Drosophila melanogaster: one gene and its partners. The protein of the gene in region 2 interacts with the protein of the main gene of each other region in a pairwise test. Each region holds a gene or a part of one and is shown on either strand. Other genes may lie near its edges.

Region 1 (7,615 bases), about 14 Mb from region 2:
ATGGCCTTGGGAAGGTTGGCGGACCAATGTCTATTGTGAAATAAGAAATCCAGCGAATTCAGCAAGACGAACCTTGACTGTGGGTACGTATACGTAATGTAGCAACTTCTTTTTCGAAGCTGGAAGCATCTGCAGAGTGCAGAGATCAAGATCTAGCATCTAGATCTTAATTCTCTCGAAATCTCAGCCCACTGACAACTAACATTTGGGTTGATAGCAGTGCCCGTATCGTCAGTTTTTCCATTAGCGATTTGGAGTGGAAAACACATCGTGACCAGGAGGTCAACCGCCAATAATACAAATGTCGTATTGAGTGGCCGAAAATATTTATTACCATTTCGCTGGTGGTGAAATTAGAATCAAAATAAAAACAAAAACATAGATTTAGGAAAGTGATAAGCAGTCAAATTAGCAGGTCGTGACTATAAAATTTAAATGTTCGTTTAAATATTGATTGATTTTTCCATATTTAAGGCACAAGCATCTTTTTAAAAACATTGTTTCGAATGTAGAAGTAAGTTCAGTTTGGTTTTAATATATTGAATTAATTATATTGAAACGAATTGAATATAGAATATATATTCTATTACAGTTGACTATATTAAACATATATATGTATAAATATGTTTATTTTATGGCCTTTTTGCTTAATATTTAGTTATAATATTTTATAATTTTCCTGAAAGCAATTCACCGGTGGAAACAAGTTTTCTTCGTTTTGGCGCTTGGTCACACTTTCTGTTTCGGTCAAAACAAACTGAACAATAGTTAATGTTTTTAAACATTTTCGATGCGACTGCATAATTAGGCATGGAAATCGGCAACGATCAGTCCTATCAGGACTTCTTCGACAAGTTGCGAAGGTGAGTCTGTTTCTGGACGGGATTGGGACACTTGGCACAGTGGTATATACATATTAAATATATATGAACTCCAGTGAATCGGGTCCTCGCAACTTGCGCCAGATCTTTGAGGACGACGATCGTCCGCTGGCGAACGAATCATCCAGCTTGCGCTATCAGCCAGGCAGCTCCAAAAAATTGCAGGCTGGCAAAAGACCGGCCATGACCAGGAGTAGCACCCAGGAGACGGGTGATTCACCGCCTGCCGCCTGGAACACGGCCATTGCCAAGGTGGTGCATGCCTATCGGAGCAGCGAGAACGTTGGACGCGTCGGCCTGGCCCTCTCGATTCTGGGCGAGATGGAGGCCAGCAAGCTGATTGTCTACCGCAGCAAGAGTCAGGTGCTGACCACGCTGCAGTTGACACCGCGTGGCGGCAAGGTGATACTGCGCGAATCCTATCTGCAGTTCTACGATGACGAGCAGCGCTTCTGGAGCCTGCGATTCGACAAGGAACCGGATGAGAAGGAATTCATAACGTTTATGGTCAAAAACAAACTGCCAGTGGAGCACTATCTCAGCGAGATCTCATCCTCCAGCTCGGCATCGCCTTCGCGTGAGGATTTATCTAAGATCCGAACTAAAGCAACGGTCACAAAGACGACGCCTAATCCGCCACAGCCGCAACCACGTTCCCGCGTAACGCTGCCAACGCTGGAGAAGGCGGACGATGAGGAACGCGAACGGGAAACAGAGACACCTTCCAATGAGGATGTGATAGTAACGCCAGTGCCGCGACCCATAGGTTCGTCAAATGCTCACAGGAAACTCAGTGCCAGTTCCCTGGCGGTGGCCAACGCTTCAACGAGCAGCGATACTCCGTTGGCTGTGACGACACTGGACAAATATCTAGACGAACAGCGTGCCTCGGGTGCGTTAATGGAGCACAAGATGGACGCCATTCTGCAGGCCATGAATCGCATGGGCGGCCAGTCGAGTGTTGCGCCCAAGAAGCCCAGTGATCCGCTGCTGGAACGCGACAGCGAGGACGAGATGCTGGAGCTGGAGCAGAAGCTGCTCAACTTGAAGCGGGAGAATCGAGCGCTAATGCGCAACCTCAAGGCACGCGAACAGGCGCTGGAGGATCTACGCTGCTCGGCGTGCGCCCTTTGCGAGGAGCTACTAGTCCAGAATGGCGAGCTCAAGTCGCAGAATGCCCAGCTGTTGTTAGCCAGCCAGCATATTTCCGATTCAAGCACAGCTGCTTCGCCTGCCCATTGCCGCAATTGCGAGTCGTCTTCCCGGCAAATAGCCAAAATGCAGCTACACATTTCCGCACTGCAGGAAGCGCTGCGAATCTTTCAGAAATCAGGCGACTCCAGCTCCAGTTCGGGTCGGTTATAGCACCTAACGTAGGCGTATTATATATGTTCGGTATTACTATCGAAAAGTGTATTAAATCATTTGTTAGGTCGCGTAACATATCCACAAATACAAGCCAGACACTATTAGCTATCTTTAAGTCATTAGATTGCCATGTTATTGGGCTCATTTACAAAGCGATTTTCTAATCTATTACAACTATTATTACTAAATGTGAGATATAAAATATGTTGCGGAAGATTATAATTAATAGCAACCCATGCTTTGCTCTCTCTCAATTATGAAAAACTCCGACTTCCTCTTGTACAAACTAATTTGTTGTATTTGCAGCACACATCGGGCTGAAATTTAAGGTATAGGGACAAGTCTACGGTTTGCGCGTCTCATAATCCGTGGGAAGAGTTCATGGAGAAGTTGTTTTGGGGCCTGGAACTGGAAGTGGAACTGGCAGTCTCTCTGTGGAAGTGAGGAGCGGAAAGGATGGGCTGGCGGTCCTGCTCCTTTACGTTTTTACGGCTAAAATGGAAAGCGAGCTAGTTTGCGGAGCGAGTGCTTTGGGAGGCAGCTGTCTATCCATCCTGATGCTGATCCAGATCCAGATACAGATCCACATCTAGATTCTCTTGCTGATCCAGTTAATCCTTGTTTGTTTCTTTTCTTTCTCAGTAGGTGCTGCTGTCGCTGAGGCTGCTCAGGTAGCTGCTGCCGGCGGTCGGAGCACCGGATCCGCCGGCACGATGTCGCTTCCGCTTCGCCTTGGTCTTCTTGCGTCGCAGCATGGCCGTGTCCGTGGACTTGCGCTTGTACTTGCCCTGCCGCTTCTTCTTGCGTCCGTACTCATCCGATTCACTGGTGCTGGACTCCTCGTTGTCGCTGGAATCCGATTCAGACGAATCGCTCGATGTGGAGGAGTCATCACTCGAATCATCGCTCGATGACGACGATGAGCTGCTGGTTGATGACGAGGAGGAGGAGGAGGACGACGACGACGACGACGAATCCGAGCTAGAGGTGGAGGATGATCGTCGTCGTTTTGACTTCTTGTTGGTGCTGCCGCTGCTCGGTCGCTTGCCTGTTTTGGTTTTGGCCAGCTCGCTGCTGCTGTTGCTGCTGCTATTGTTGGTGTTTGTGGTCTTTTTGTGCTTCCGGCTCCTCTTCTTGCCATGCTTCTTGTGCCGCACCGACTTCTTGTCCTTGCTCTTCTCGGCCAGCTTGTGGCTGCTCTTTGAGTGGCTACGCTTCTTGTCCTTGCTCCGGCTACCCTTCTCCTTCTCTTTCTCCTTCACCTTCTCTCTCTCCCGCTCCCTTTCCCGCTTCTTCGCCTTGAGCCTGTCGCGGCTCTTGTCCTTGCTCCTGTCCCGTTTGCCTGCCGCGGGAAGCACCGCTGGCTCCGTTGGCGGCGGCACCTCAGCGCCACTCTTCAGCTCCTGGGCTCTCAGTTCGGTGAGCGGCGTAAGGTAGTCCAGCTCCGAGTCTGAGCTGGTGCTCTCCACATCCAGCAGGATCTCCTTGTTGGGGTCCACCTGTTCAGGATAGCGGTTAGCGGCGGATAAAAGCAACATAAACATGCGGTCTATGCGATTGGTGCGCTTACCTTGAGAAAATTGCGGCATTGGTAGGTCAGGTGACCGGCGTAGCCGCATTTCTTGCAGGCAGCCCGCAACGTATCCTTGTTGACGCTCGCCAGTGGGAAGTTCATGGTTGCCGCTCCGCTGCCGGTCGTACCTTTGCGGCGTTTGGCGGGCTGGGGCTGGGGCTCTGGCGTTGGGCGGGCTTGTCCACTGACTGATTATTATTTCGCCTCGCGCACCATTAATTGATATGTGCACAACAACAACAACAACGATACCAACAACAATGGGGTAAAAATGAAACGCGAGTTGAAGTAAATCGCGTTTTTAGTGCGGCCATGCGGCCGCGTTTCGAACATACCATGCCGGCAGCACACCGGTCCGCTTAGCCGTGACAAGCACCGATAGGCTGCGGTATGCTAGCTGGGGTGACACTGGCACGGAAATACCGTTGCCCGAACAAGAGCTGGTCACACTGCACGCCAGCACGGCTTAGTTGTTTACCAAATTTGAAGCTCTACGGTTGATCCGCGCATGAAAGGGCGCCATAAAACAATAAATAACTTGAAGAGACGAATCCGCGAAACGTTTAACAGTTATCATAATATCCAGCCTATTGGCGTAGTTCGCTGCGCCGACTGTGTTATTAACTACGCTGTTTGTTTTTGTTTTTTGCAAGTGCTTTTGAGTGCCGAAGTTAAAAAAAAAGTCCGTGCGTAAGCCAGCGCCAGTTCAATCCGCCCGCTTGCGTGAAGGACCCAGTTTTAGCCATGGCCCAAACAGAGGCCAAAACCACGTGCACGCGGCGTCGCCGCCAGTTTTTGCCCCATGGCCAAAATAGGCAGCAGCAGCTGCAGCAGAAGCGGCAACAACAACATTGTTAGCGGTTTCCACTCAAAAATATACCGTGTGCTACATAATGCCGTTAGATATTTGTAACGGCTTAGATCGCATACCGTTAATCGTGGATTGTGGCACTAACTGAACTGGTCGTACGATTGTTGTGATTATCCTTGCTGCGGATCCCGACTATTAAAAGTGGGGATAAGCATTGGCAACAGTTGGCAATTCGTAAGCAGTCATCAGGTGAGTGGAGAGTTCATTATAAAAAAATTAAATTGAAAGTGGTATAAAATTAAAAACTATGCACACTGCAATCGTTTAAAACGAATACGGTTAATTAAAAGAAAATGATTGCATAGTTAATTTTGTGCCATTTAAGTGTCGGCAGTTAATTCATTCGAGTGTCAAATTTCGTACGGTGCGACTGTTTTATTGTCGGCCAGTGTGACCAATGTGCATTGCAATGCATTCATCGCCTAGGCGACCAAAACCTCGGCGTATTAATTACAAACAAATTAAAAATTTTGCCTCGCCCGCTGCCCACGCCTTAATTAAAGACGCCAAAGAGTAACGGTAATAACCGACAACGGGAACGACGACCGTCGGGGGTTTGCGTTATTCGTTATTCGTTATGCCTTATTGTTGTTTTTGTACTGCTGAGGATGCTGCACGTTGTTGCACTTGTTGTTGTTGCTGGCGTAATTGTGCCAGACATCGTCGCTCATTCTCGCTAACGCTCAGACTGCACACTGAAAGAAAAGCTGGAGAGTGAATGCATCTAGTGGCTGCATTTCCGTATTTAACGAGCAGTGTGACCATTGCCTGCCAAGTAGTAAGCTTTAGCTTTGCATTTTTCATTAGTATGACATAGTTGGTTAGAGATAAAAGAGGATTGGTCTAATCTTTATAAATTGAAAGCATCAGCTAAAAGTATTAATATTTCAACTCCTGCACTTAAAGCATTAAGATTACCCGTTTTCATTTTGTATTTCTTTTTTTCCAAGTGGACCCCAAGCGCCACCCCCTAAAATCACCCGCACACGCCGCACCCCGCCCCGCCCCGTGGCCACATTTTCTTCTGGGTCCCTGCCTGCTTTTGTTGGCAGGAAAAAATAATAAAAGCTAGGGGCTGAAAGGAAAGGGGGGAAGGGGAGGGATAGCGGCAGGCAGATGGAAAACTGTGTCGCTTTCGCCTGCGTGCGGTGACTGCAAAACTGTTGCCCAAAACAAATGACTAGAAACATGGTTGTGCCCCACTCTGCCACGTCCGTCCGTCTTCGCCATCGCTGATTTATGCCAGCGGCAAAATTATGAAAAATTGTTGCAGCTAAATTTAAAAGAAATCTGAAAGTAAACACAACCGAGAAACGTACACCAACGTGGCGAAAATAAATAAATTCGATAATTTATCCATAAATTCTGGACTCGCAGCATTTTCGGCGTCAACGGCGGCTATCGGCCTTGGCTACCGTTGGTGCTAGTCGTGCTAGTGGTAGTAGCAGTAGCAGTGGCAATTGTAGTTCAACCATTCCACCCATTCAGACGGCCATCCCTCTGCTTTGTAGCAATTAACATGTGCAAATTTCTGGCCACATAAATTTCCGTAAACTGTTTGTTGCTCCCAGCGCCAAATCTCTGCGTCTGTCGGGAGGAGCCATAAATTTCTGGTCGCGATGGATGGGGAGTGTCCAGGAGCACAAGATCTGCAGATATAGATGGTAAATCTTTGGAGGCAAAGGCCAGATAAAGCAAGGAAATTGGCCAAGGAGATCAATTCTCAGAACGTAAATTACACGGATTGGGATTTTTATCTATCCAGCTAGACTGGCCTTGAAATGGCACAACCAAACCAATCATAAATTTAAGTCTTTTATTTATGATATATTCAAAGATTTCCGATACCGATTCCAAGCCAAGGTCTGCTAATTTAAAGCAAGAGATGCGTGACAGCAGTGCGACCAAACGCCATGGTAACGCATTTAAACGCATAAATCATCACAAAGTTATGTAGATGTACTATTGCTTAATGACACAATCAAAATATTTCGCTGTGGGCACAAATTTCCTTTTGCATTCACCGCAAACCGAACTCAAAACTGCAAGGTGGATAAGATGGGGGGGGCAAATTAAACCAGATCGAGCTCCATAAGATCAAAGTCGAATAAAGTGGAGCGTAATCCTTGCCGCCGGTTGCCATTACTTGAGTAAATGACCCTCCGGCAGTTCGACATCGTTAATAGTATATAGGATATATAGCTATATATGTGTGCATTCGTGTCATTCAGTGGCACTCAAAACTCTCAAGTTGCATTCAAAATTTAAGTGCGCATTTAAATACATGGCAGCGGTTTTTGCCTTGCCACCAAAACTTGGCGCCCCGAAAAGACCCAGATGAAGATGGAGATGGATAGATGGATGAACGGATAGAGTGTGTGTGTGTGTGTGTGTGTGTGCGATTGAGAGGACTCTTATGCGGTAGAGCAAGAGGGAACGAGTTCAAAGGAAAGGGACGGGACTAGAGCAGCTGAGCGTGCACCGCAGAGTCAAAGAAGGAGCTCAAAGTGGCTTACGCTTGACTGATTTAATGCATGTCAAAATGTCAAAATATATGCATGCACAAAGAAAACCGTTACATGAATCCCTTTAAACCACCCACCACCCAAGCCACCCACCGCCTCCCGCCTGTTTTCGGTCACAGATTCTCGGACTCGGAAGTCCCTTTGCCATAGTCAAAACAATTATAAATGATAAATGTCAAACAGAGATGGACAGTGGCAGAAGGAGAGAGATGACAGATGCTACACTGTCAGAAAATGTCATTGGGAATTTGCGACACTCTATGCACTCTATATCAGTGACATATATCATTACATCAGCTAAAAACATATCTACATGCTGAATGGTCACACCACGGTACTCAATTAGAGACAAGGTCACATTGCACCTTATATCAATGTTTGATTTATATATACGACC
Region 2 (7,281 bases):
GGCTGACGCAGGATACATGCTCGCCTTTGAGGTCCTGGCCCGAATCTAAGCTCAACTAATTATAACTTTGGTGCAATTCGTTCAAAACCTTTGAGGCCCTTGCGCGTGTATTCGCGTTTTCATCTCGCGCTCGTCGTCGTTTTCGGAGCTACCAAGGCTACCAAGGATCTCCGAGGTGGGCGGTGCGGCTGAAGTGGGCGTGGCGCAACTCGAGCGGCGAGCGCTTTTAGGCGATTTTGCTGGCAAAATCATGTGCAGCCAACGGCTTCGAGAGTCATTAAGCTTATTAAGTGGGCGAGCAGATAACCCAAATGAGTGCATGCCAAATGAAAGCCAACGCAATTTGCACTCATATCGCCCACGAATTCCTTGCACTGTTAAAAAAAGAAGGAACTGAGCTCAGCTGGTTGGCGGATATATGCAGTCCCAGTTTCAAATGCCTAAATGCCCAGATAAGTGTATCAACAATTTGGACACCGATCGAAATGAAAGGAGTAGGTAAATTCTGATGCTATACACAATTATTTTTTAAAACGTGCATCGTTAACTGACTCGAAAAGTTTCTGGTTAATCCACTTCTTACTATAACCATTTGTAAGTTTGTATCAAAATCAAGATTTTTACAAAGAAAATAAACACTTCAACGTACCAAGTTTTGAAATATTCAAACCACATCAGTGTGTTGAATAACCCCAAAACAAAAAAAAAAAAAATATTTAGATAATAGAAACTGGATCTCAATGGAGTCTGCAATATCCGAATAGATAGCAGATGCTAAGTATGTATGTTTTATATATATATAAATTGCATCTTCAATACTCCGTAGTTCTTAAGCAAGTTTTGTCCAGTGTACTTATTCAAATAGCTCATGCTCATGGAAAAGTTTCCCAAGAGGCCGGAAAAGGGTCAGGAGGTGGAAGAGAAGAAATACGAGAAAGGGCGTGGGGAACCGGAAACGGAGAAGATAACAAACAAATTGCCAGTGCAATTGCAAGCTTGAGATTATCGCCTGCCTGCGGTGGCCGCATTACTCGCTCTTAACTTTACTTAACTCCACTTTGGCTTACTTAACTTTGCTTCAAGTGCAGGCCAATAGGAGGCATTGCAATGGCCTTCTTATCGCTGCGGTTGATGCAAAAGTAAGTCCCATTGCATCCCCAGAAACTTTTAATGGCTGCGAGAGGAGCGCCGCCTACGCTGACCACCATTAATCTGAAAACCTAATACCCGCCTGCGGCTAAACTTCAATTTACCCGCTTACTCGATTGCCATCTTTCGATAACGATTGGCGAGCACAGGCCTAAAAGCTAGCTGCTATGCCACGCAGGACACTCATGGTTTCCTTTTTGACATTAAATTCACTTAATAATATTACCTTTTCGCATTCTAATGCCGTTCCCCAATTATAAACGAATTTATATTCACACAACACATACATATATGTATATTTATATATTAAAAAGTCACATATACATATGCACATACTCCACGTCGACCATCGACTATCGGATACCCATTACTAAGCTAAAGGTGTATGAGCTATGTATGTATACCTTTTTGCGTGCCTCTTTTGCGAAACTCTTTCAATTACCGACCTTAACTGGTAAAATAAAACGGCTCTTCTGAACTATTTTGTGATTTATTTTTATAGTGATTTATTTAATGGTTCGTTAATGTCCTGTATGGTTGAGAGACTCTGAGGAAGAGACATTGGTCATTAGTGTCTGAAAAGATATGTATGATTGAATATGTGTAGAATGAAGGTAATTCCTCGTGAGACTTGTTTACCAGCCCTGAGGACGCTCTAGCTTTAGTCGCTTAGCCAACGGATTCCCATCTGGATTTTGCTCTGAAACCGAAGTTAAATACCCAGTTGGGTCCTCCACGGGAAACGTTCGCTTCTTTACGTCCAGCATGCTAATGAAACTATGAACTTTATGTCAGGACTCTCACCACGAATTACTTCAACTCACAGCAAATTGCTGCTGAACAACAGCTCATTTAGGCGCTCGTGCTCTTCGCGCGAAGGACTTCTGTTAGGCTGCTCCATGTCCAAGATCGAGTCCATTCCTGCCAGCATTGCGATCACGCTAGCTTGCAAGTTGCCATCATTGACAGATGCCGTCTGGGCAGACTTATTCACTGTATTGGATGGCAAACCCTTAGTCATCGTAGACTGATTGCCCATCCACTGATTGAATCCACGCGTAAACTGAGGCTGCAATTCTTCCGGAATATTCCGGAGGAAATAGGAATGGGATTCGTTGTTCGGATTTGGCATCTTGAAGTTCCGTTGTGACATGGAAATGGTTTCTCCGGTACGGGTTCTAGATGTGAACTGAATTCAATAGGGACCAAAGCAAACCAAATGTCAAAAATAGGCTACCTTTTGATTGATTGAAAATGAAAGGGTTGCATTTAATAATTATGCAAAAATGATTTATATTTAATTATATTATATATATTATAAAATTATTATGATATATTTAAATTATATTTATCCCACTCGTCTGTAGCTGATTAACAGTTATCTGAATATGATTCCAAAATTAAGATTAAGTATATATGTACATATATACTGTTATTATATATTAACAGTATATATATAACAGTATATATATACATATATATGGGCCTAACAGAAACCATTATTCCTTTCGGTACCCTTTGCCATCTTTTGAGAATTTACATTGTGTTGTTCTATATGACAGTGACGTCACCTTATAGCTTTAGGCTGTACTTGAATTATTACTTTTGAAACAGCAATAATTCAATGAGTGATCAAATATGAATTCGCACTTCAATCAGCCTTCAAATCCAATGATGTTTCTTATCAAGAATTCAGGCGTATTATATTTCGGAATTCTACATTCTACATACTTTTTAGCCAGTGTAGAATTGTACATACGCATTGGTATTTTCGTCGAAATTCAGTGGTGTGGTATTCAGCTACAGATGTATTTGAAATCTCAGATTCGAGCGCGGTCACACTGAGCACGTGGAGCAGACAAAGCAGCTGGATTGAGAAATTATTGGAAACAACGCAGTAAAAGCACAACAGATTGCACCATGGAGGCAGAGAACATCAGAGCAGACGCATTCGAGCCGGCGAAGAGAGCGACGAAGCGCGGAGCCAGCGGAGGCGGGCAGCAGGACGTGGAGATGCAGGTGGACGAGGCGACCGGCATTGAGGGCCAGGTGCTGGGATCTTCGCGAGCATCGGCGCCGCCCAAGGCAAAGCGGGCCAGAAGCGAGCTGCGCAAGGTATCCGTGCCGCCACACAGGTACTCCTCGCTCAAGGAGCACTGGATGAAGATCTTTACGCCCGTGGTGGAGCACATGAAGCTGCAGATCCGCTTCAACATGAAGGCGCGCCAGGTGGAGCTGCGTGTGGGCCCCGAGACGCCGGACATAGCCAACCTGCAGCGCGGCGCCGACTTCGTGCGCGCCTTTCTCTGCGGCTTCGAGGTGGACGACGCCCTGGCCCTGCTGCGTCTGGAGGACCTGTTCGTCGAGTCGTTCGAAATCAAGGACGTGAAGACGCTGCGCGGCGACCACCAGTCTCGCGCCATCGGCCGCCTCGCCGGCAAGGGCGGCCGCACCAAATTCACCATCGAGAACGTGACCAAGACCCGCATCGTGCTAGCCGATAGCAAGATCCACATCCTGGGCAGCTACCAGAACATTCAGCTTGCGCGCCGGGCCGTCTGCAACCTAATCCTCGGCTCGCCGCCCAGCAAGGTGTATGGCAACCTGCGGGCAGTCGCCTCGCGCCTCTCGGAGCGCATGTGATTGGGAGAGCGGACTGGAGTGGACTGGACTGGAGTGGAGTTCGACTTGAGAGGGAGTAGTTGCGGTTTTTTTTTTAGCATTAGCAATAAATAATAAATATAATAACATGTATTCAAACATTTACAATATACACAAACACACACAGCGAATGACGGGAATGAGGTCGGCCCACTGGAGGCGCGTGGGCAACTAGAGCTTGGTCAGGATGAGCAGCAGCAGCATGAAGAATGTGACCGCCGCCAGGACGAGAATGACGCACATCTTGCGGTTCTTGCGCTGATACATTTCCGCCTTGTGCAGCTGGCGCAATCCCTCCGAGACGCGCGTCTGCGTCTGCTCCACGTTGTAGTCGATGCGGTCGAGCACAGTGCCCTGCTCCTGGACCATGTGGCCCAGGTCCTTGAAGATGTCGTTCAGGTCGTAGATGGACTTGACTATCTTGGTCACCTCCTGCTCGCGGTGCTGCGCCACCCGCGTGTTCTCCTCCTCGAAGAGCAGCAGCTGCTGTTGGGTCATCCGGCTGGCCGGCGGCCTTTGGAAGTGATCGTCGATGGCCTGCTCGTCGTCCTCGAACAGATAGCCGTTGCCGGACTTGCCCTCCGCCGGCGGCTGCAGAAAGTTGTCGAAGGAGTCGACGAAGTTCTCGGCGCTCTGCTCGCCCAGCTCCACGTTTGTGAAGACGTCTCCAGCGCCAGCGCCGCCGCCGTCGTCGAAGTACTTCTGCGAGCGCTCCTCGCGGGAGTTCAGCTGAAGCAGGTAGGCATTCTGGCTGGCACGGAACTTCACCGTCAGCTCCTGCAGCTGGAGCAGGGCGCAGTGTACCGCGTTGACCGTCAGGCACTGCTCCATCTTGCTGCCCACGCCGATGCTGCTGCGCACGCACTGGATGTGCCGGTGCGTGGAGGTGATCAGCTTGGAGACGATTTGGCTGAGCACCTCGATGTCGCACTCGTCGTCCCGCTGATCATCGAAGGCGGGTCGCAGGAGGTGGCGTGCGTGCAGGGAGCCCAGTTCATCCAGCTTAGGCTTGATCCTGCAAACGAGTGATGGGAGTGAAGTTGAACCCTGCGCATGGACTACTGTTTGTTTACCCACTTAGACATGGTGTACTGCGCCTCCTCGAACTTGTCCAGCCAGGCGGGCGGCGTGCCGTAGTCGTCCTGCAGCTCCAGTCCCTCCTCCGCCTCGCGCACCGAGTGCTTTAGAAGGCGCTCCGCATCGCTGCCCCTCTGGAAGACGGAGAAACGCAAAACATATGTTAGTTGATGATAACAGTGAAGACCCCAGACGGAGACGCACTCACCCGATCGTCGTAGTGATTCCGGTTCTTGGACGCATTGTTGCGCATGATGACGAACACCTCCGTCAGGTTGCGCGACGTCATCCTGGCCGTCTGCTCCCGATTTCTTGGGGATTGGAAGGATTGATCCAAGTCCGCTGAAAACTCAATCAGATTTTTTCCAGTTTCGTTTTGACACAGCAGCGCAGTGTGCCCGCTGACTTGCTCGCCCAGAATACCGATAGTCGCCACGACGAACTGGTCACCCTGGCCTGAACGCACCGTTACATGTCCGAGAATTATACTTATTTTAAATATTATTTTCTTATTATCTGTAGAATCTGTACTTTATATGTATACTCCTAAACATCCTATTTGCGAAAGTGATTTTTTCAATATACGGATTGGATAGCTCCAATAGAAATATTCGGAAATTACAGAATATAGTATTGCTTTGTTGAGTTTCAACAATTTATAAAGTTAATTCTGTACACACCGTCACGTAAATTGAAATGCAATACTTTTAGCAATAAAACGACCGTAATAGTACAATAAAAGTATTCAATAATTTGTTATGTGCGTTCTCTTTTTTTGCGTTACGAAAGAGTAATATAACCGAATGATATTGTAAATGATTTTAGAATCAAGTACATTTTAGGCTAATGTTTAAAAATTACAAATTTACAGAATTTTAGGGAACTCATTATGAGTTTGGCTTAACGTTTTCTAATAGCCAGCTTCCACTGTACTGGGTTTTAATCCGTGACACAAGCCTGTGACTTAAGAACACTGAAGAGCTATCGAAAGGCAAAACATATCGATGGCTCGACCCCCTGATATCGATTACTTGATAGCTCAGTCAGTTTGCACCTCCCCCTGATATCGATTGCCATCAAACAATTTTATTTCATTTTAAAATAATTCCTTGATTTCAAATTGCATTGTACTGGTAACTGGCACTTCCAATTGTGACCCGAAAGCAGCAAGCGCGGAAAACGGAGAGTTCAAGTGCGGGTGGAAAAGTCAGGATGTCATAACTAACTCCGAGCGGAACAACGAAATGAGCAGTGCGGACAAGGATAACAACGAATTATCCTGATCCTGGACGCCCGATTGCAGTTGTGTGTGTGCTTGCGCGCGTGTGCGTGTGCTTAGTGTGTGTGCCAGTGACGACATTGACCCGCCTTCGCCCCCGCCCCCACCCGCGCTCCAACCCACCACCACACCCCCCTTGAAGGGGTAACTGTGCCATGCCATTGTCGTTGTTGTGGTTGTGGTCGAGCTCGTTTCTAGCCTGACTTCGGCGGTGGAGCACTAGGGAAGGCAACACGAAAACACAAACATGTTCAACCGCCAGGCGAGCGGAGGAGCCGGATCCAGTGGCCAGGGTGCTGGGTCCAGCCAGACCGCTTCTGCAGCACCAGTCTCCGCTGGAGTTGGAGTAGGAGGGGGTGGAGGTGCCAGTGGAGCAGCGGCAGGAGCAGGCTCCGCAGCAGGATCTGGATCGGGATCAGGTTCCGGATCAGCAGCACCGCCCAGCCATTCGCCCGATCTCTACCTGCGCCCGCTGCCCTTTCTGGACGCCAAGTGGCTGCGCGCCGATCTCATCGCCTCCCTGCGCAACGCCGCCGACGGCGCCGTACTGTGGAACCATCTGATCCAGGACTGCGAGCTGGTCTCGTCGCCTACCGCGCCGCTCCTAAATGCCCGCGGACAACTATCCTACCTGGGCGACGATGGCAAGCACTACTGCGGCGCTCAGCAGCTCAAGTGCTCCTGCTGCCAGCCGGAGTACTGCGGTCCTCTCTCCGCCTGCAATTGCGACGGCTGTCGGCCTCTGGACTCGGACACGGCCATCAAAAAGCTTACCACCCAAGCTGCCGCCCAGCAAGCAGCCCATCTTAGCCAGGCCACCGACATGGTTCTGAGCGGCTGGCTCTGGAGCCAGCCACCTTCGCAGCAGGCGCGTTTGGATTGCCAGCGTTCTATGATCTCGGAGCTGCAGGAGCTAGCTCTACGCGCAGCCGGCAACTGTCTCTCTGCCCAGCATCTTCGCCAGCAACTCTTCATCTACGAGCGCTACTTCGTGGCCCTGAAAAGGGAGAGGGAACGGGAACGCAAGTCCACGACAAGCGCACAGGCGGTGGCCAGTGTCACCACCGCCAACACCACCATTGCCGCCACAACCGCCAATGCTGCAGTGGAGTCAC
Region 3 (9,975 bases), on a different chromosome or scaffold from region 2:
CGCCTTGAACGCCAGTTGTTAATTGTCAGTTAGAGCCCACTTAGTACCCTTCGGAAAACGCGCCGGGGTATATTAGAAGATGATGTATGTATTTTCTCGCGGCATCCGAATGTTTATTCAATGATAAACTCGAAGATATATTAACGATAGAAAATTTGTTTCGGAAATAAAGCCATAGATATATTACCAAAAATTTTCCCCGACCTACCTCTACATTCAGCAATACAGTTGGGTGAAAAACCATACTTGAATTGCGGAAACGTGTCTCGAAAATGATCCCGGACTCTGTCTCCTGGCTGTCAACCAGCAATGTAGCACCTAGGGATGTGCTAAATGGGCATCATGTGATATACTTTGGTTCTCGGTTCGCTAATAGAACCGCCATATAGACAAAACAAACAAGATTTTCATACTACGCAGGTTGTATGCGAGTTGAGTTGAGCTACCGTTTAGATTACAAATATTTATATATATATATATATATTTATCAAGTCGGTTGGCTAAAAGCAGTTTGGAGTGCCTAAAACCCATTCATGGCTATTTTTAAAGGTGGGATGATAAAATAGATCATAGATCTACTATAGATCTTAATATATCAACACGCAACATGTTCAATGAAGCAAATTTCCTGGCAGTGGGGTGAAAATATAAAGGAAATTAAATAGTTAGTATCTCTAGTTGCGTATCTGTGTATTCCCCAAGCAATTAAGTCTTGCCTGGCGTCTGCTTATCGTGTTGGCCCTAAAAGAGAGGCGCACTGCGGCTAAATTATCACCAATTTGAGGGCTGTCTGACCCAAAAATAGCATCATGAGATAGAGATTTATTTACTTACCAATTATCTGTTACTTAGGCTGAGCCGTGCCGCGGATGACAGCCATGAGACGAGCACTTTGTTAGCCACCATCACTACCATAACCACCGAGATCATTCCGATGCCCGATTCTGGGCGCAGCTGCTTCGGTTGGTCCTCCGCGCCGGAGGCAGCGGGCGGCAACTGCTCCAGATCGAACCGGAATGGAACACTTAAGTGCTATGGCGGAATGAATAACCTGGCTGCGCTGAAGTGAGTATTGTTAGATCTTTGTTTGAGTGAACATATAACTAAGAGATCTATTTAATACAAGTACCCATCGTATCCGATAGGTGGCGCATCAGATAATTGAAGCACTCTAACGCTCTACTAATCTCTATAATGGTTTTTCATTCCCATTATAGCCAATCTGGAAAGTTGAGTAGAGTCCAGCCCGCACTGGAAATGCTTCTGTGCGGCTGGCCAAAGGATGGTCTAAATCATTTCAGGGATCTTCAGAAATTGCCTCGCCTTCGATCACTGACCATCGAGTACAGTGGCTTCACCGAATTCAAATTCGACTTTCCCGAAATGTTGGAGCTACATACTATCAACATTTCGTGGACGAATCTCTCGTACATCTCATCGCGAACCTTCAAACGTGTGCATCCGCTCAAGGTCTTAGATCTGCGATGGAACCAGCTCATTCAACTGGATGGACCACTGTTGCTGCCCCGCAATTTCGAGCAACTCTATCTGGCGGGCAATCCGTGGAACTGTACGCGCAACTTCAAGTGGTTGCTGCTGCAGCCGGAAAAGGGACGCCTGGTGGTGGATCGCGACGAACTAATATGCACAGATCGAAAGTATAAGGAACGCCAGATGCTCATGGTCATGCACTACAAACTGGTGGGTAGCTGCTTATCAATCCTGCATCACTGTGATTACCTGATTGATTTTATTTGCAGGAGCTGAAGAGACAATGCCAATCGCATGAGGATCTAAGGAACTGCACTTGCCTAATGCATCACATCTTACCCAAGACTCACATACCGCTCTATACGGTCAACTGTTCCCATTTGCAGTTCCATCGCTTGCCTGACTTTTTGCCGGACAACACCACCACTTTAGTTATAAACGATAATATGGTAAGAGCATATTTAATATGAGCATATTAAAGCTCAATGAAAAGTAACTTACTTGATTTGTCATCAGATCAGTGACATAAATCCGCTGCGGGACAATCCCCACTACCGCCACGTTGTGGATATGCAGCTGGAGAACAATCAGATATCCAATGTGGACAACTTGGAGGACACTTACTGGCTGCAGAACTTCCGCTTGCTCAATCTGCGTGGCAACAATCTGCGCAAGCTTCATGTCTACGCCCTGGACAACGCTCTGGATGACAACGAGAATGCCAATCTGCTATTGCTAAGTCGAAATCCCTGGCACTGCACCTGCAAGTTTGGCAGCAGAATGCGTGAGCTGTTGACGAAGTACAAGGACATCGTGCGTGATGCCTGGAATGTGAGCTGCACCTACCGCCTGGATGACGACCAGCTGCTGGCCAAGGTGCTGACCCTCAGTCGCCAGGAGATGTGCAATTTAAGCGTGGAGGGCGGCACTCAGATCCATCCCATCGATTGGCTAAACGGGGTGCTGGCCAGCCTCATATTTCTTATCCTGGGCAAGCTTGCCTACGATTACTACTACTACAAGTATTACGGTCGAGTTCCTTGGATTGTGATGAAAATGCCCTAGTCTCTAGATCTAATGTTAAAGGAAGTTCAACTCGAAAGTATTTCTCAACCACCGACGATGGCTTTCGGTTTATTCTTGAAAATCTACAAAAACAATACCGGTCTTTGTATCATATATGAATATTTATATATATATATATAAATAATGTTGTTTAGGTATTTATGTATGTATATTTAAGCTAGGTCAACGCAAAACTCTCAAAATAGTTGTTTTCCACACTATTGCACTGTTCAAATTGTTTTGTATGGTTAAAAACATTCGTTCTCACGTTCCTACATATTTGACGGTTTATTTTAAGCATTTATCCTGCATTTAAATTGGCACAAAGCGCTTAATCTTTGATAATGAGAAACAGCTAAGATAGGTTTATGTTTGCAACTGGACAGAACGGAATCTGTGTGAATTTTAGGTTAGTTACACATTATTCCATTTAAATGAATCTAATTTTGTATAATGTATATTTACAATTAAAAACCTTGATTTAAATTCTTTGGCTCTCGAAATCAGTGCAAAATGTCGCATCTTTTCGGTCAAAGCAAATGCAAAATGATTAAAATAATTGTATAGGATACAAGCTTATAAATTAAACAACAGTGCTGGACATTGTAAACAAAGCTTAAAACATTTTTGTACTTTACATCAATCAAGTGAAAATTCAAACAAGGCTTAATATTTCGCTGGCTGTAAGCGGCATATCTAAAATTCTTTTGGTTTCCTTCGTGAGTCCATTGAATGGCGGTAAAAAAGGTCGGCAATGTTTCTTATAAATTTGTTGTATAAAAGTCGAAGTAAAATTTAGATCGTTTAAAATTGAGTTCCCTTGGTTTGCATTGTATATGATATGGAATCATTATCTAACCACTATACAAAAGAAAAGACTCACGAAGGAATCAGCCAGAGATCGCAAATGAAATAACAGTGGATGGCATTAAGTTGGCTATTCTTCGGGGACCCAGACTATCTGGTGTCCCCGATTACATTATCTGTTTTTGGCTAAGCATGCGAGTATTTAAATATGTTTATAATATACGATCCATTGCACAGCCTAGAACAGCATGTAGGAATGATCACGTTCCAGTCGCGACTTGGCGCGGGATTGTATATTGCCAATCGGATCCGAGGGCGGTGGTATGCCATTGATCTGATGGGTAGGTTCCTTGTAGAAGAACTCGGTCCTTCCATTCTTATGGCCATAATAAACGGAGTCGTTGGATCTATAAATATAAATATTAATAAAACCAAAGAAAGAAGGTTTATGATTGTTGAACATACCTCAAGATCAAATCTGTAAGATGATGACCACTGGAATGTATCGAGTGCATGCTCTCGAGGATATTAAGCTCTAGGGGATTCCAAGGGCCATTCCGCTGCAGAACATCCCACTTGGAGTCCACGCACATGAAGCTATAGTTGCTCCCGTCGCGATTGTCGCCCTCCACATTTACATTTAAGGTTTGATTCAGTTGAGATTCCATGTGCGGGAACTTGGCCACACAAATGTCGAACTAATTGGAAGATATATTAACAATGTTTATAGACGAAAAAAATATAAATTCACTTACCATCTTCTGCACAACCTGCTGTTGTTGACAAGTACCCTCCTCCATGAGCAATAATAAGGTCATATTCTGCTGTCCGCATATATAGAGTTCAGTTCTTTGCAAGCCATCTGGTTGAATTGGACCCGGAGGTTGAGCAGGGGCTGTGGTCAAGGCAGCCAATGCATCCACTGCATCCTCGCACTTCAGTGAACTTCGCCGTGGGAAAACCTTACTGGTTGTCAGCGGAGTTTGTATCTCGATGGGCGTTGTTTCGCTTAGAGCCAGAACAGATAGTTTGGCCATCAGGGGTGTTAGTGGTACTCCACCAGCTCCACTGCGTCCGGACGCACGCTCTCCGAAAGTAGATTCTCCTGCTGATTTCAATGGCAGCGTCATGGATCGCTTGTCCAGCGGAGTTTTGGCTGCGGAAACGTTGAGATTCCTATCGGCAGACGATGCTTCCGCTGCTTGCTGTCTCATGTGCTCGTCGAGCTTTTGGATCTCGGCGTTGAACTCCTGGAACTCGGCTACCAGAGCGGCTAGCTCGGCATCCTCGTGCGCCTGCTCACTAGCAACACCCCACAATTTACGATACTGATCCAGAAATTGCTGAAACAAACTGCGCGAGATCTGCTGGCCGTTAGTGTTGAATACCGGATAGGTGGGATCGCTGATGGTCCGCGAAGTAATCTTATCATCGTCCTCTATGAAATCTGGCGAATCCGAAGAGACATCACCATTACCGCTTCCATTTCGATTCACATCGGTTTTGAGGCCATGCGTAAAATTATTCAGTTTCTTGGAGATGGCGCGAAGTGCATCCTGCAGGTCTGCAGATGATTTGCGTCGTGTGAGCTGTTTGTTTGGATTGCTAATGAAGTTTTGAAAGAATTTCTCCACATCCACTTTTAGAGAATTTCGACGCGAATGTGTCTTGCCATTGGAATTGTGAATATCCTCCTCTTTGCCCTCATCTTCGGGATTTGCGCAAATGGACATAACATTGGCCACCGGCAGTACCTTGTTCTCGGTCATTGGAGTATTGCAAACGCTGGTTCGTCCAATGAACTGCGGATAGGAATCGGTTTCGTCGAAATTTATTGATGCAATGCCAGACTCCGGTAGCTCTTTGCTCTGCATGCTTTTTATACGCAACGGCAGGTGGGTGGGTCGCATAGATTTGGGCCTGGCTGGTGGTAGCTGTTCAACTGCTCCCTGCTGCTCCGGGGCGTGCTCCTCCTCGGGTATATGGGTAAAAATGAGCGACTTGTCCCGCTTTATCTTACGCTTGGCATACTGAAACGGCATACCATTTTGGGTGAGCTGAGCTGTGTTCATCTGCAGGTTCTGGGCGCGCTGTGCCTCGCCAGCTAACTGGCGGTACTGCATATGCTCCAAATAAACCACCAGCATCTGAACGCCGTTGGGTATGTGGAACTCAGGATGGTTGGTCACTTGCTCGGCCGCAGTGCGGATGTGCAGAGGATCGGTGAGTACAAGATGCTTGGTCACCATATCGCTCAGTTGCGAGGCAACCACCCTAAAAGACAAGGTATTTGAATTTACAATTTGTTCAGACTTTAGCCGGATTAACTGACTTGTTGTGGTACAGAATCGCTCCGCCAAGTATTCCCTTTGTCTGCTGGCAACTTTGCAACGTTTGTATAGCCTCCAGGAATATATGACTGGCCGTCTGGAAGAGAATCTTGGTTATCTAGGTAATTCGGTTTGTTACTTTAACCACTCACCTTTGGCATTCGCAGCCTCGGCACATTTTGAAATGTATTTCCGTTGCGCTGCAGCATCGGCAGATATGTTTCAAAGATGTGGTACAGTTTCTCGCTGAGATTCCGGCGGTTCAGGGCGGGCGGTGCAGCATACTGGGCATACAATGTCTGGACGTCACGGTGGAAAAACTTGAGCAGGGAACTCAGCAGATCAGCACGATGTTCCAACAGTTGATCTCCAATATTTCGATCAGTGCCAATTGCCTGGAAAACAGAATACTCCATCGGATTAATAAAAGAAAAGTGAAATTATGTGATTCGATTTACCAGAATAAAACGACCGAATTCCTTCAGCACAAATTTTCCATTCTGCAGCGCCAGGATGCGGGGATTAAAGAAGCAATCCTTGAGGAAATACGACGTGCCCATAAGCTGACCACACAGAGCCACCTTCTGGGAGTCGGACACCCAGCTTGGATGGAAGTAGAGCACCGCCGATATGGGATCATCCGCCTCGTCTGTGAGACACTCTGTGTCGTAGACAAACACAATCATCGTCTCCCTGTAAATTTAATAAAGTTCAAGGGTTATTGTTATTGAGACTTTGAGACGGGGAAATATATTTTAGCTTAGTTTCTAATGTTAAGGAAAAGCTTTGGAGAAATTACGTTCAACTATTTTCCCTTGTAAAATGTGAGCTGAATCTTAAAACTTGTTCAAGAATTGATACAACAAGTGCTGTAGCAAAACCGGTATGCAAAAAAAACTTTACACAAATACAAATTGGATTTATGCAATCTCAATTTGTTTGACGTTGTTTAATGCAATTCATTGTAGATATTTGTGCACTGGAAACACAGTTTGAGTATGAAATGAGCAACCTTTCGGTGAGGATTGAGGTCTGCTGCTTCTGCTGCACCTTCTGCCATCGCTTGTGCTTGGTTTTGCGCCAATCCCGAAACATTGCTCCTGAAATCTAGTGGATTTCGGTGCTTCCAAGTCTAGCGCTGCATCGTGGCTCCTTATCACATTTAACGACCGACGATTCTGATAAGTCAACAAGCCAATAGCGCCGTACAATGCCAACTGTCTGATTTCGATGTGGCCCAGCTGCCTGATACGACCAACTGTGATACGAGAGCGTGATCAGAATTCCGCTCACGCCCAAGTGAACCAGCAGGTGAGAAGTGAGGTGAAAGCTTCCGAGTGTTTCCATCATTGCGGTTGAGCGGGTGGGTATACGAGCAACTATGCTCTCGTATAATGTATTCATCCATGTGGTGACCACTTCAATGACGAAGGTATCGATTCCAGTTTTAGAGTGTAACAAATTCGATTACCAATGCTATATTTTATAAAAAGCTCTCGGAGGCAAATGATTTTCAAATATCATTAATAAGATTTTATATATGTTTAACAACAGAGACCTTGTCTGTTTTATTGCGCGTAATACAATGTTTATTTAAACTATCATAACAACTCTATCCAGCAGCTGTTTTCAACACATTGGGTGGCAACTGTTGAATCTGGTTCACAGTATCCGATTGGCTAGATATGCTATACTTGGCCACATATCCATCGGGACCAGCTTTGTAGGTGACCAGCAGGTATTTCGAACCAGGAAAACGCTGGCTATAAGTACCCTTAACTTGAAGCACATCTGGCGCAATCTGTTCAACAATCTCATCCCGCGTTGAACCGTCGAGATCAATCCTACAATATGGAAGCCATTTGGTTGAGCTTACAGCATTATCTTAACTTCATTTTTTGTTTACCTCAGGGAATAATTATTCTCAGATGGCACTAGCACAACTCCATTATCGTTTATGGGCGGCACGAATTTGGTAACTGAAGTTGTGGGCGCCGAATTCACCAGACTTAGAAACAGAATCAAAAACACCTGTAGCAAATATTATACAACGATTGGCAGGCAAACTTATGAGAAAAACTCACTGAGCTTAACAATAGGTTAGCCATGATGATCTTTTGGCTTTTGGTTAGCGACTGATGTTTTTAGATAGCTGACAGCAAACAGCTAACAAATAAACAGCTAAACTTAAACCAAGTTCAAAACTGGAATCATTAATAAACACATTCAAAAATCGTTCTCCGCTTATAGTATAGCTATAAGATGTGATTTTTGAATACTGTCAACAGGGATTTACATAACATAACAATAAAACTTGCCACAGTGAATCATTGACCGAGTCACCTAATAAGTTGCTTTAATAGGGCTTAGCCAATTAACAATAATAAGTATAACAATTTGTTATAGTTAAGAAAGTCTAGCTAGTTTATTGATTTCTATAAACTAGTGAGTGATTATAAACTTACTTATTGTTACTTATAAATACAGAATTGGTTTAATATAAATTACGGCAAGTTGTGGTTTTAATGTTTTCTAAATATTCAGTCAAAATCCTATCCCGCTGCAGTTTTCAGAGCACCGGGACTGAGGAATAATGGTGTGTCAGGAGGCGGTGTTGGAGGACCCTTGCCGAAGCTGTATTTGGCAACATATCCATTCGGACCAGCCTCATAGGTGACAATAAGATTGGCATCCTGATCCTCGAAGGGCTGGTTAATCACACCTTTAACCTGCAGATGTCCGGCTTCATTCTGGCTCACGGATTCCTGGCGAATAGTGCCACCCGGATGTTCGATTCTACAGATTCAGAACTAACTAAGTAAAGGGAAGCTCTCTTCTGGACTTTGATTAGCTACCTGAGAAAGTATTCTTGATTGAGGGGCTCAAGTTGAAAGCCATTTGTGCGGATTTGCGGAACGATAGTTGGTGAAATTTGCGGTGCCGCGTTGACCGCAGTGAAGATGAAAATTGCCAACAGCTAAATATTATTATGATTTGAAAATGGTATGTTTAAACTTTGATTTGCATATGCGAAAAGACTACTCACCGCGAAAAAATCGCGAGACATGATGACCTGTCTGTGGTTGAACAAAAACTATCTGAATATCTGAACGCTTGGTCAGTTTTGAGCCCAAAACGAAGGCTGGTTGATTTAAGTAGCAAGCAAACGAGTTTTGATTTTTACGATGAAGATACAAAAAAATCACACATCTGCTTCGCGAGAAACACTTCAGTACACCTACTAATTCAAATAATTGCAAAATTCCCATCTTATAAGGCAATTGAAAAAGGGACACAATAAAATCGACTCATCTAGCAAAAGCATTCGGTAGCCTTCGCTGTGACAATTAACTTGGTTCAAATCAATCTCCACACGTCATGCCCAATGCAAAATCATTCTGTCATGATAAACTTGTGACTACATTAAACACCTGGCCTATGAAATTTTCTTGGGGAGTTCCCAAGTCAAATTTTAATTCTTTCTACGTGAGATTCTTACAGTTCTAAAAAGTCTACCCCGGTATATGACTAATAGGATTTTGACCTTTAAGACACGGTCCAATTGGGACTTGTAAAAAATGATTTCTAAGAATTTGCTAAAAATAATTTGAAATGGAAAAATACTTAACTGAAAATAAGAAATAATAAGAAAATATAGAATTGTTTACCCAAAAATAAAAAAATTTTAATTGTAAAATTGTCAATTAATTTATTTTTAACAATATATGTATGATTACACAGTTTTTATAGTTGAATAATAAAAACTTTTCAATAATTAAAAATTTGACATAGAGACAAACTTTTGCATTATATATGCACTTTCTGTATTTATTAAATGTTTATACTAAAAGGTTTTTTCCATTATAATAATATCTATAAAAAATTTTTATAGAAAAACACTTAAGACCAATCAAATTTCATTTTACCGGTTTGCCAATCTTTTGAACTTTGACATTTTATCAATTTCACCGATCGGAATCGATACTTATCTCGGTCTTCTTCTTCCCCCTTTCCATCACACTTCCTGTGTATGTGAATGCAAATTTAATGGGCGAGGGGGTGGTGGGTGGCTGCGAGGGCGGAGGCTGCAGCTCAAAACAAACACAAAAATACCCCCACATACACAGCGCGCCGCCCACACACACACACGTACTCGCAGACGCAGGCACATAGACGATGTAAAGTTTTTCACTGTTTATAAAACCTTATCAATTTCACTTACTTTGCAGCCATTGTGTATTGCACTTGTAACCTCTCGTTGTCGGAAGATTATTGCACTTTA
Region 4 (7,062 bases), on a different chromosome or scaffold from region 2:
TCAAACTTCTTGGCCCACTCCTGATACGACTCGCCGTAGTCGGCCAGCAGTTTGGGCTCAAACTTCTGCACATTGGCTTTGACGCTGTTCTCCAGTAGCGATTGAATGGCATTCGATTTGCTACTCTTCTCAACGGCTTCCTGCAGGGACTTCAGCAGCTCTTCGGATCCCTCCAGCTTGAGGCTTTCAACTATGCTCTGTGCGGCTAAAAGAGTCTCCTTGTGCAGGGCAGCTGAGTTCGAGGCCAGAAAGCTGGAGGCCTCGGGCACTTGTCCGGTTAGGACATAGCCAAGTAGGGCAACGTTCTGCTTCAGCTCTTTCAAGGACCCTTCGCCGGAGCCCAATCGAACCATGGCGCGACCCAGTTTCTTCTCTTCGGTATTTTCGCTGGCGTCGTCGGGGTAATTGCGAATGAACTTCACGCGAACTTTTTCCTAGCAAATTCAGGTATGATTAGTAAACTTGGTAAAATGCCAAAATGAACAAAATCTTAAATAGCTATTTATGAGTGAATAAAGTTTCCAGCCGCTTAGCTGATAATTCAGCCACTATCGAAAATCATCTTACCACTTCAACATTTTTGGCAGGAGGTTGAACTTGAGAGGACTCGAAGGGCTTGAACTCCTTGGCGAAGGACCAGAAGGACTGTAGGGCCAGGGACTCCAGCAACTCGTTGTTGCATAAGTTTCTGTCCACGAGAATAGTGGCCAGCTGGGCAGATTCCACCGCGTGGCCATTGTGCAGCAGGAAGTCCAACAGGAAGCAGCCAGAGAACTGGTCCACAAAGAGCCCGTACTGGATGGGATTACGGAGCACCGATATCGTCTCCTGCGGATTGGTGGAGTCCAGCAATTGCTTGACCAAGACACTGGGAATCAGCGGCACCAAACTGGCCTCCTTCTGTTTCCTGCAAGAGTTATCTTATGAGTAGGGACACTACTTCCAATATGGCCGCACCCACCTGAGCTTGAGCAGCCGGTCCACCAGGTCCATGGGACGGTTATCCGGATTGACGAACACATCCAAATCCACACTCGTTACGGCATGACTGCTGCCTGCGGCGAATTTAGCCGGTCCCTCGTGCGCCACCTTGTTGAATTCCGCCGAGAAGTAGGACACCAGTCTCCTGGGTGGCAGTGCGCAGGAAATCCTCGATCGCAGCATTGTCAATTGTCTTTTTTAATTCATAAAGTGTTATAACCAGCCGATTAACAAATAACATGCAGCTGGCCAAAAGAGCAACAAAATCCCTAGCGCGTTCGCCAGTTAATACCGCAGATAGCGGTATTTTCGTATTCGAAAGCATTGAGGGTATTTCGACTTATAATATGTTGCTTTTTCCGGGAACGATGGAATTGAAAATGTCCTTGGAATATTTGAATAAAATAATTAATTTGAATTCTTTTATTCTAAATGAAAAAACACATAAAATAATCAAATCAAATTGCAACAAAACTATTTAAAAAACGGAAGAGTACGTTTTATATATAGTTAAAAGGCTAAATGATATTTGTATATTTATGTATATATTTAATATCTGTATATACGTTTCACTAATGAAGTGTAGAAAAATGTAAAATGAACAACGATTTCACAGTTTATTAAAATCATTCGAGGGTGTTGAAAGGCGGGCACTACTTATAAATTGCAATATTAAGTTATACATCTGGGCACATATGATTTCAATAAACTGCAATTCAATCTTGATCTTGTTAATTAGATCTGAAAGGTATTCACCGCCAATCCCTGCGGTGGGCACTCCACAACAATTGCTATATTGAGCGCACCGAATCGCCACCATCAACTGATTACACGCCCTAATGCCGATCCAATCCACTTTTTCCACCCGATAATGGGATGACAATTTACCCCTGAAGGGCGTGAGGTTTGGTACTTGTAGATGGTGACCCTTCAACCCCCATTCAAGTCCTTGTTTTTCTTCCCACAGGCTTAGCCGGCTGAGCCCTCAAAAGGGTGCTAAGCCAGTTGTCCCGGATGATATGAAAACAAGCAAAGTGTTACACAGATCTTATTTATTTAACGCAATTCGCTCCAAATAGTCAGTAAAAATAATATCAAAATAACTGCATTCATCAAAATGTATACTAATATTTACATAGATATTAGTGGATTCTATATTTGATCGTATAAGCATTTCATTTGACGGCCATGGCCATTCTGGGGTCCCTTGAGAGATGGGCCCAGGTATTTCGATCCTGCTACAGGATTCTTCCGGCCATCCAATTTGCTCGACTTGTCCTTCATTATGTAAATGGCATGCCTCTCCTGCTTGCGAAACTTGGCTCTTCTGTTCTGGAACCAGACCTAAAACACACAATGGTTTTTTTTTTTTTTAATTTCGATTACTAAGTCGTTTTGTATCCTTCAACAGGATATGACTAAATTCGTTTCGATTGTAAGCTGGCTTCGAGAAACCTATAATATTTGAACCTATCAACAGCAGATCGAGTTCTTTTCAATAGTTATATTATATTATGTAAGTATTATTTGTTATATGTTAATTATTGAAATATGTGTATCCTAAACTACCCACTCACTTAACCAGCAATTCAATCTCATTAGTTTTCCTCACCTGAACTCGAGCTTCCGTCAAGTGCAGCTTGGATGCGATCTCTTCCCTGGTGTAGATATCTGGGTAGTGGGTTTCCAGGAAGATCTTCTCCAGCTCGTTCAGCTGGTTGGACGTGAAAGTGGTGCGAATGCGCCTCTGTTTTGATTTGTCGGTCAGGCTCAAGCCGTCGTCTCCATAGGACTTCAAATGGAAGTCTATGGCGAGGTGAGAGTTGGTTCAAGATTACAATCCATAATCGATCCATCCAGGTGCACTGGCTGCAGGTGGAACTGATGGCCACTGTACTTACCCGTGTTGTAGGAGCCAATGTTATGGGTGGCCGGGTAAAACTCGGAGACAGTGGTGATTTTGGAGAACAATAAGCTCGACTCCTGGTTGAGGGAACCCCGGATTGCGGACTCGTTGGCGCAGAGCTTGTAACTGGAGTCAATCATGAGGTTGTAGTGATTTATGTGATTGGCCACGGAGAGTCCTCCTCCATTGGCGCCGCTGTTGTAGAACTCCGAGTTCGCGGTGTACAAACAATCCTTGTCGAAGTTCGCCTTGTTGAGCAGTGAAAATTCCATCGCATCTGCAGGTAAATTCACACACGGCACTCGATTGAAATTTTACAGCCCGCTAATGAGTCATTCGGCCATAAAACACATAGTTATAGTAGCTCCGCGGCCGCACACACTTTTAACTGCCCTTGAATAAATAAGCTTCGATTACGATTGTATCAACTACAGGACATCCACGTTGGACGAACAAGGATGCTGCACTTGTCTCGGGAGAGCGGGACGGAAAATTTCATTCGTTTCCGCGTTTGGAGGCGGTCCTAACGAGCTCCACTCGACATAGGGGTGGAAATCTGACTTTCCGGCGCGTGTCGTGCACTGCGCGAAAATTCACCGCATTTCCCCAATTGACTTGTCACAGCATGTCTAAAGAATTGGTTTTGGTTTTAATTTCATTGATTGCATCGCTGTCTGTTGGCTCTGATCTAATCTTCACTCAGAAATCTTCTTTTCAATGAATATTTCTTCAAAATCTGAATATTTTCCAAGCTCCATCTTTAAGCGAACTTTTCTTTGAGTGCACCAATTTTCACAGGCCTCAAAAAGCAACACTCAGAAGATTAAATTGGCTTATCGGGCAACCATGACGCTGGGATGTCCTGTCTGAGCGATTAAAGGAAATGCTTCTCTGGGATAATATAAAAAGTAAGAAAAATGAAAATCCTCTTTACGTTGCAATAACTCTTAAGGAACAGCCAAAGTAACATAAATTATAAAATATATTTAAACTTCATATATGAAATGGAAAGGGTATCGGACAGTCCGTCATCACGAGTACAGCACTTCGCCAACTTGATAAAACAAATGGTGTTGTACCGCACACAATGGATAAGAGACACCTTACTATCTTTTCTTGTTTATAACATTGGGCTGATTGAAACATTGTTTAAAGTCACTGGCAGGATACAACCCCTGTTTTCGGAAACAATTATTTGCTCTGCGGATTATTTCGATTAGTTAATTCCTGCTAATCAGAGTCCTGCCTAATTTTTATTTACTCTGCGCTGAAGTCCTTTTTTTTTTGGACACCCTAATGCTGGATTGCTAATAGGATAGGCTGGTTGTTCCATGTGCTGAAGCCATTTAGTTAAATTTTCAAAGAAAAACAGTTCCAAATTCAATGTATCTATCTTCGGAAACAATTTCATTGGGATCAGTTTAGTCAAACATACGAGGTAAAAGTTTAGAATGTGCCTCTTTTTCCAGTTGAAAAATGGTCTTAGTTGCCTTTGTGGATTTTACACATTTGCATGGTAGAGTGAGCCTTTTCTTTTCTTAATCAACGAATTGGAACGACTAAGTCTCTAGGAAAACAAAGCCACCTAATAGATGCACATCATGCTCAAACTAACACTCGTGCAAAAAGAAACTCTACTTTGTAGTAATCATTACTTAAATCGCAAGTCTATGTAAATCGGAGAATTGTTATGGCAATCATAATAATACAACATTACGACATTCCGAAAGTTTTGGAATAAGTTACTGTGTTACATTTTAGGTTAAAATATATCCAATATATGTGTAAAATTATAACCTTTCCAATTGTAATTGTATCAAACGCAAAGATATGAACTCATTTTACATTTAATAAATAGTATAGTAACCAGATGTTGGAGGTGATCGACCTGAACGAAACCCACCTGCATTGTTTGCTTAACCCGATCTCAAACCCACCCCGAAAATCCTGTAAAAACAGCAACATATTATTTAGTTATAGAGCATCTAAATGGGAAGCTAGTTTAAGTAGGTTTCAACCTAGTTGTGGGTGCAAATGAGCCTGGAACTACATGCATCGAACAAGTATCAGGTTCTATTGAGTCATTCTGAAAACAACTAACGTTAGTTTGGAAAACATAAAGTAAAGAAAAAGGGTTTATCATGCATAGGTGTGTGTTGCACTTACACACTAACTTGGTATAGTGAAGGCTTTTTCTTTTGCTAATCACCGAGTTGGAACGACTAACTAAGTCTTTACAAAAACTCAAGCATATGGATATACTTAAACCTATGAGTAACTGAACGGCTAATACCCTAAGATTTATTCAATTGTAAACAAATTCGAGAAATTCGACTTAAAAATGCCTTCTATCGGAATTTCAACAGAATTACAGGAATGTTAATGATCCCTATTGCCATGGAGACAGCATATTATTAACGCCAATCGTTACAACAGCCCTTAACTTCGGTCGAGAAGAAGAAAAGGTCCTTAAGGACTACGCTCGACACCCCCTGTCCTTTAACGGTCTTGCATGTTACCCTCGACTATCCCTAGTTGTAGGAGTGCGCCTCAGCTGGGCGGCCAACTGGTTTTCAAATAGTCAACGGCAGCTAGGAGCAGCGGAGAGTATCGAAGCGGAAAGGTTGTGTCCAACCCCCACACATGCAGGGCGACTTGGTTGGTGGTGGTGCCTGGCCAGCTGCGGAGCGATCTCCCCACATGTCCATGCAAAGATCGTGCTTGTGCTCCGAGAGTCGCGCACAAGTCAAGTGGCACGGGCTATGCGAGGAGGAGGAGGGTTAGGGTAGGAGGATCGTGTGCCGGAGAGGAAGTGCCGGCATTATCTCGGCTAAATTCGAATTCGTTTGGTTACGCTGCGTGGTCTTGGCCAAGAGCTCTCGTTCCTCATTTCTCGGTTTTCAGTTTTCGGTTCTCTGGCGGCCAAGAGCATTTAGTTGCCTTAGTTGTACCATGCCGAGCGGACCGCTGAGTTAGGATCGGTTGAGAAGTCTGGCATACGAGTGGAAGTGGAAGTGTAGATAGGATAGTGACCGTTATGGATACCCTGCTGATCGCCATTCTGGCCATCGGACTGCTCCACAGAGGTACAGCCAGATCCTGTGGCGATCCAGCCAGCAACCGATATGGGAAACGCGATTTTTAAATTAAGAAATGAAATCATTCGGAAGGCGCATATAAACGAATTTCGAATGCGCAAACCTTGAGAAAAATAATGACAAATCGGATATCTATAAATACGAACGTATATCCACATTCGGTTCTGAGTTAACATGTGCTAAAACGGAATATAAACAATATATAAACAATATATAAACAATATGTGCAGATTCGATTATCCTTTAATTTGTGGATTTGAACGGGCTGAAGGATTTTACGTGCAATTATTCGTGTTCGAAACTATATGTTTTTCAATGTGGAAAAAGCGCCAGTGGTTTTGAAGTCGGAGCAATAGATGCTAAGTGGAAAGCAAAAGATTCCAGCGAAAGGAACCTAATAAAATTGAACAGAGTTTTCAGAATTTTGGCACACATGATGACAAACTGCCGAATGAAAAATGTTCAATTTTCTAGCTTTTGTTTGTTATTAGTGTCTATTTTTAAAACGAAACAGGCATCCGCTCATCGCGTTTTCGCTTCTCGTAAATATACGCTTTCGCCAAATTATATAGATTTTTGTGTACAATGTGTTTTGGATTTGCCTGTGCTGCATATGTACATATATTCCAAATAATACCGCGCGTGTTCTGTAATTTCGAGACCTCGTCGTGCTAAAAGCTTTTCGTTTCGTTTCTGAATTCTGCGTTCTAATCAGTAATATTCGCTCTCCCCCAGATGCGCTATGCTATCCCACGAGGGATGAGTCCGAGGACAAGATTATAGTCCTTCAGAACGAGGAGATGGAGCCCACGATCCTGGACTGCGACTACGAGGTGGAGGAGAGCCCGAAGTTCATCACCGTCAAATGGTACAGAGACGACAAGTCCATATACCAGTGGATCTTCGGAACACCTCCATATGCCATCGTGAGTGAACCAAACGGTGTGGTGCGCTTAAGATACTAACCGCTTTCCCCTCCTTGATAGCCCGAGTTCAGGAACGAGATTGACAGCACCTATGAGAGCTCCACGGAGCCGAGCAAGCAGTACAGCTCGCTGGCTTTGATCAACCCCACGA

What was found.
Region 1: the proteins of Syx16 (region 2) and CG3918 interact in a two-hybrid assay, tested with the Drosophila melanogaster proteins (one large-scale study listed by BioGRID).
Region 3: the proteins of Syx16 (region 2) and HPS4 interact in a two-hybrid assay, tested with the Drosophila melanogaster proteins (one large-scale study listed by BioGRID).
Region 4: the proteins of Syx16 (region 2) and PHDP interact in a two-hybrid assay, tested with the Drosophila melanogaster proteins (one large-scale study listed by BioGRID).

The regions. Positions count from the first base shown.
Region 1 is NC_004354.4:6,520,999-6,528,613, reverse strand, and holds CG3918 (uncharacterized protein), read right to left. Parts: upstream 4,151-7,615; 5' UTR 3,925-4,150; coding exon 3,820-3,924; intron 3,749-3,819; coding exon 2,888-3,748; 3' UTR 2,272-2,887; downstream 1-2,271. Other genes in the region: CG3342 (uncharacterized protein), read left to right, coding at 811-863, 938-2,246.
Region 2 is NC_004354.4:20,388,467-20,395,747, forward strand, and holds Syx16 (syntaxin 16), read right to left. Parts: upstream 5,286-7,281; 5' UTR 5,177-5,285; coding exon 5,096-5,176; intron 5,022-5,095; coding exon 4,888-5,021; intron 4,826-4,887; coding exon 3,982-4,825; 3' UTR 3,868-3,981; downstream 1-3,867. Other genes in the region: jb (jean-baptiste), read right to left, coding at 1,724-1,724, 1,789-1,917, 1,974-2,302; l(1)G0004 (lethal (1) G0004), read left to right, coding at 3,070-3,792; HERC2 (HECT and RLD domain containing protein 2), read left to right, coding at 6,414-7,281.
Region 3 is NT_033778.4:17,683,669-17,693,643, reverse strand, and holds HPS4 (Hermansky-Pudlak syndrome 4), read right to left. Parts: upstream 6,954-9,975; 5' UTR 6,789-6,953; coding exon 6,706-6,788; intron 6,387-6,705; coding exon 6,152-6,386; intron 6,089-6,151; coding exon 5,846-6,088; intron 5,791-5,845; coding exon 5,696-5,790; intron 5,638-5,695; coding exon 4,119-5,637; intron 4,062-4,118; coding exon 3,829-4,061; intron 3,771-3,828; coding exon 3,602-3,770; 3' UTR 2,822-3,601; downstream 1-2,821. Other genes in the region: swi2, read left to right, coding at 853-1,065, 1,218-1,701, 1,761-1,940, 2,008-2,556; CG42562 (uncharacterized protein), read right to left, coding at 7,306-7,537, 7,600-7,724, 7,778-7,801; CG42561 (uncharacterized protein), read right to left, coding at 8,246-8,489, 8,549-8,670, 8,740-8,760.
Region 4 is NT_033778.4:23,881,154-23,888,215, forward strand, and holds PHDP (putative homeodomain protein), read right to left. Parts: upstream 3,288-7,062; 5' UTR 3,160-3,287; coding exon 2,883-3,159; intron 2,788-2,882; coding exon 2,594-2,787; intron 2,326-2,593; coding exon 2,134-2,325; 3' UTR 1,983-2,133; downstream 1-1,982. Other genes in the region: CG4882 (uncharacterized protein), read right to left, coding at 1-434, 568-907, 962-1,164; CG5597 (uncharacterized protein), read left to right, coding at 5,925-5,973, 6,721-6,911, 6,972-7,062.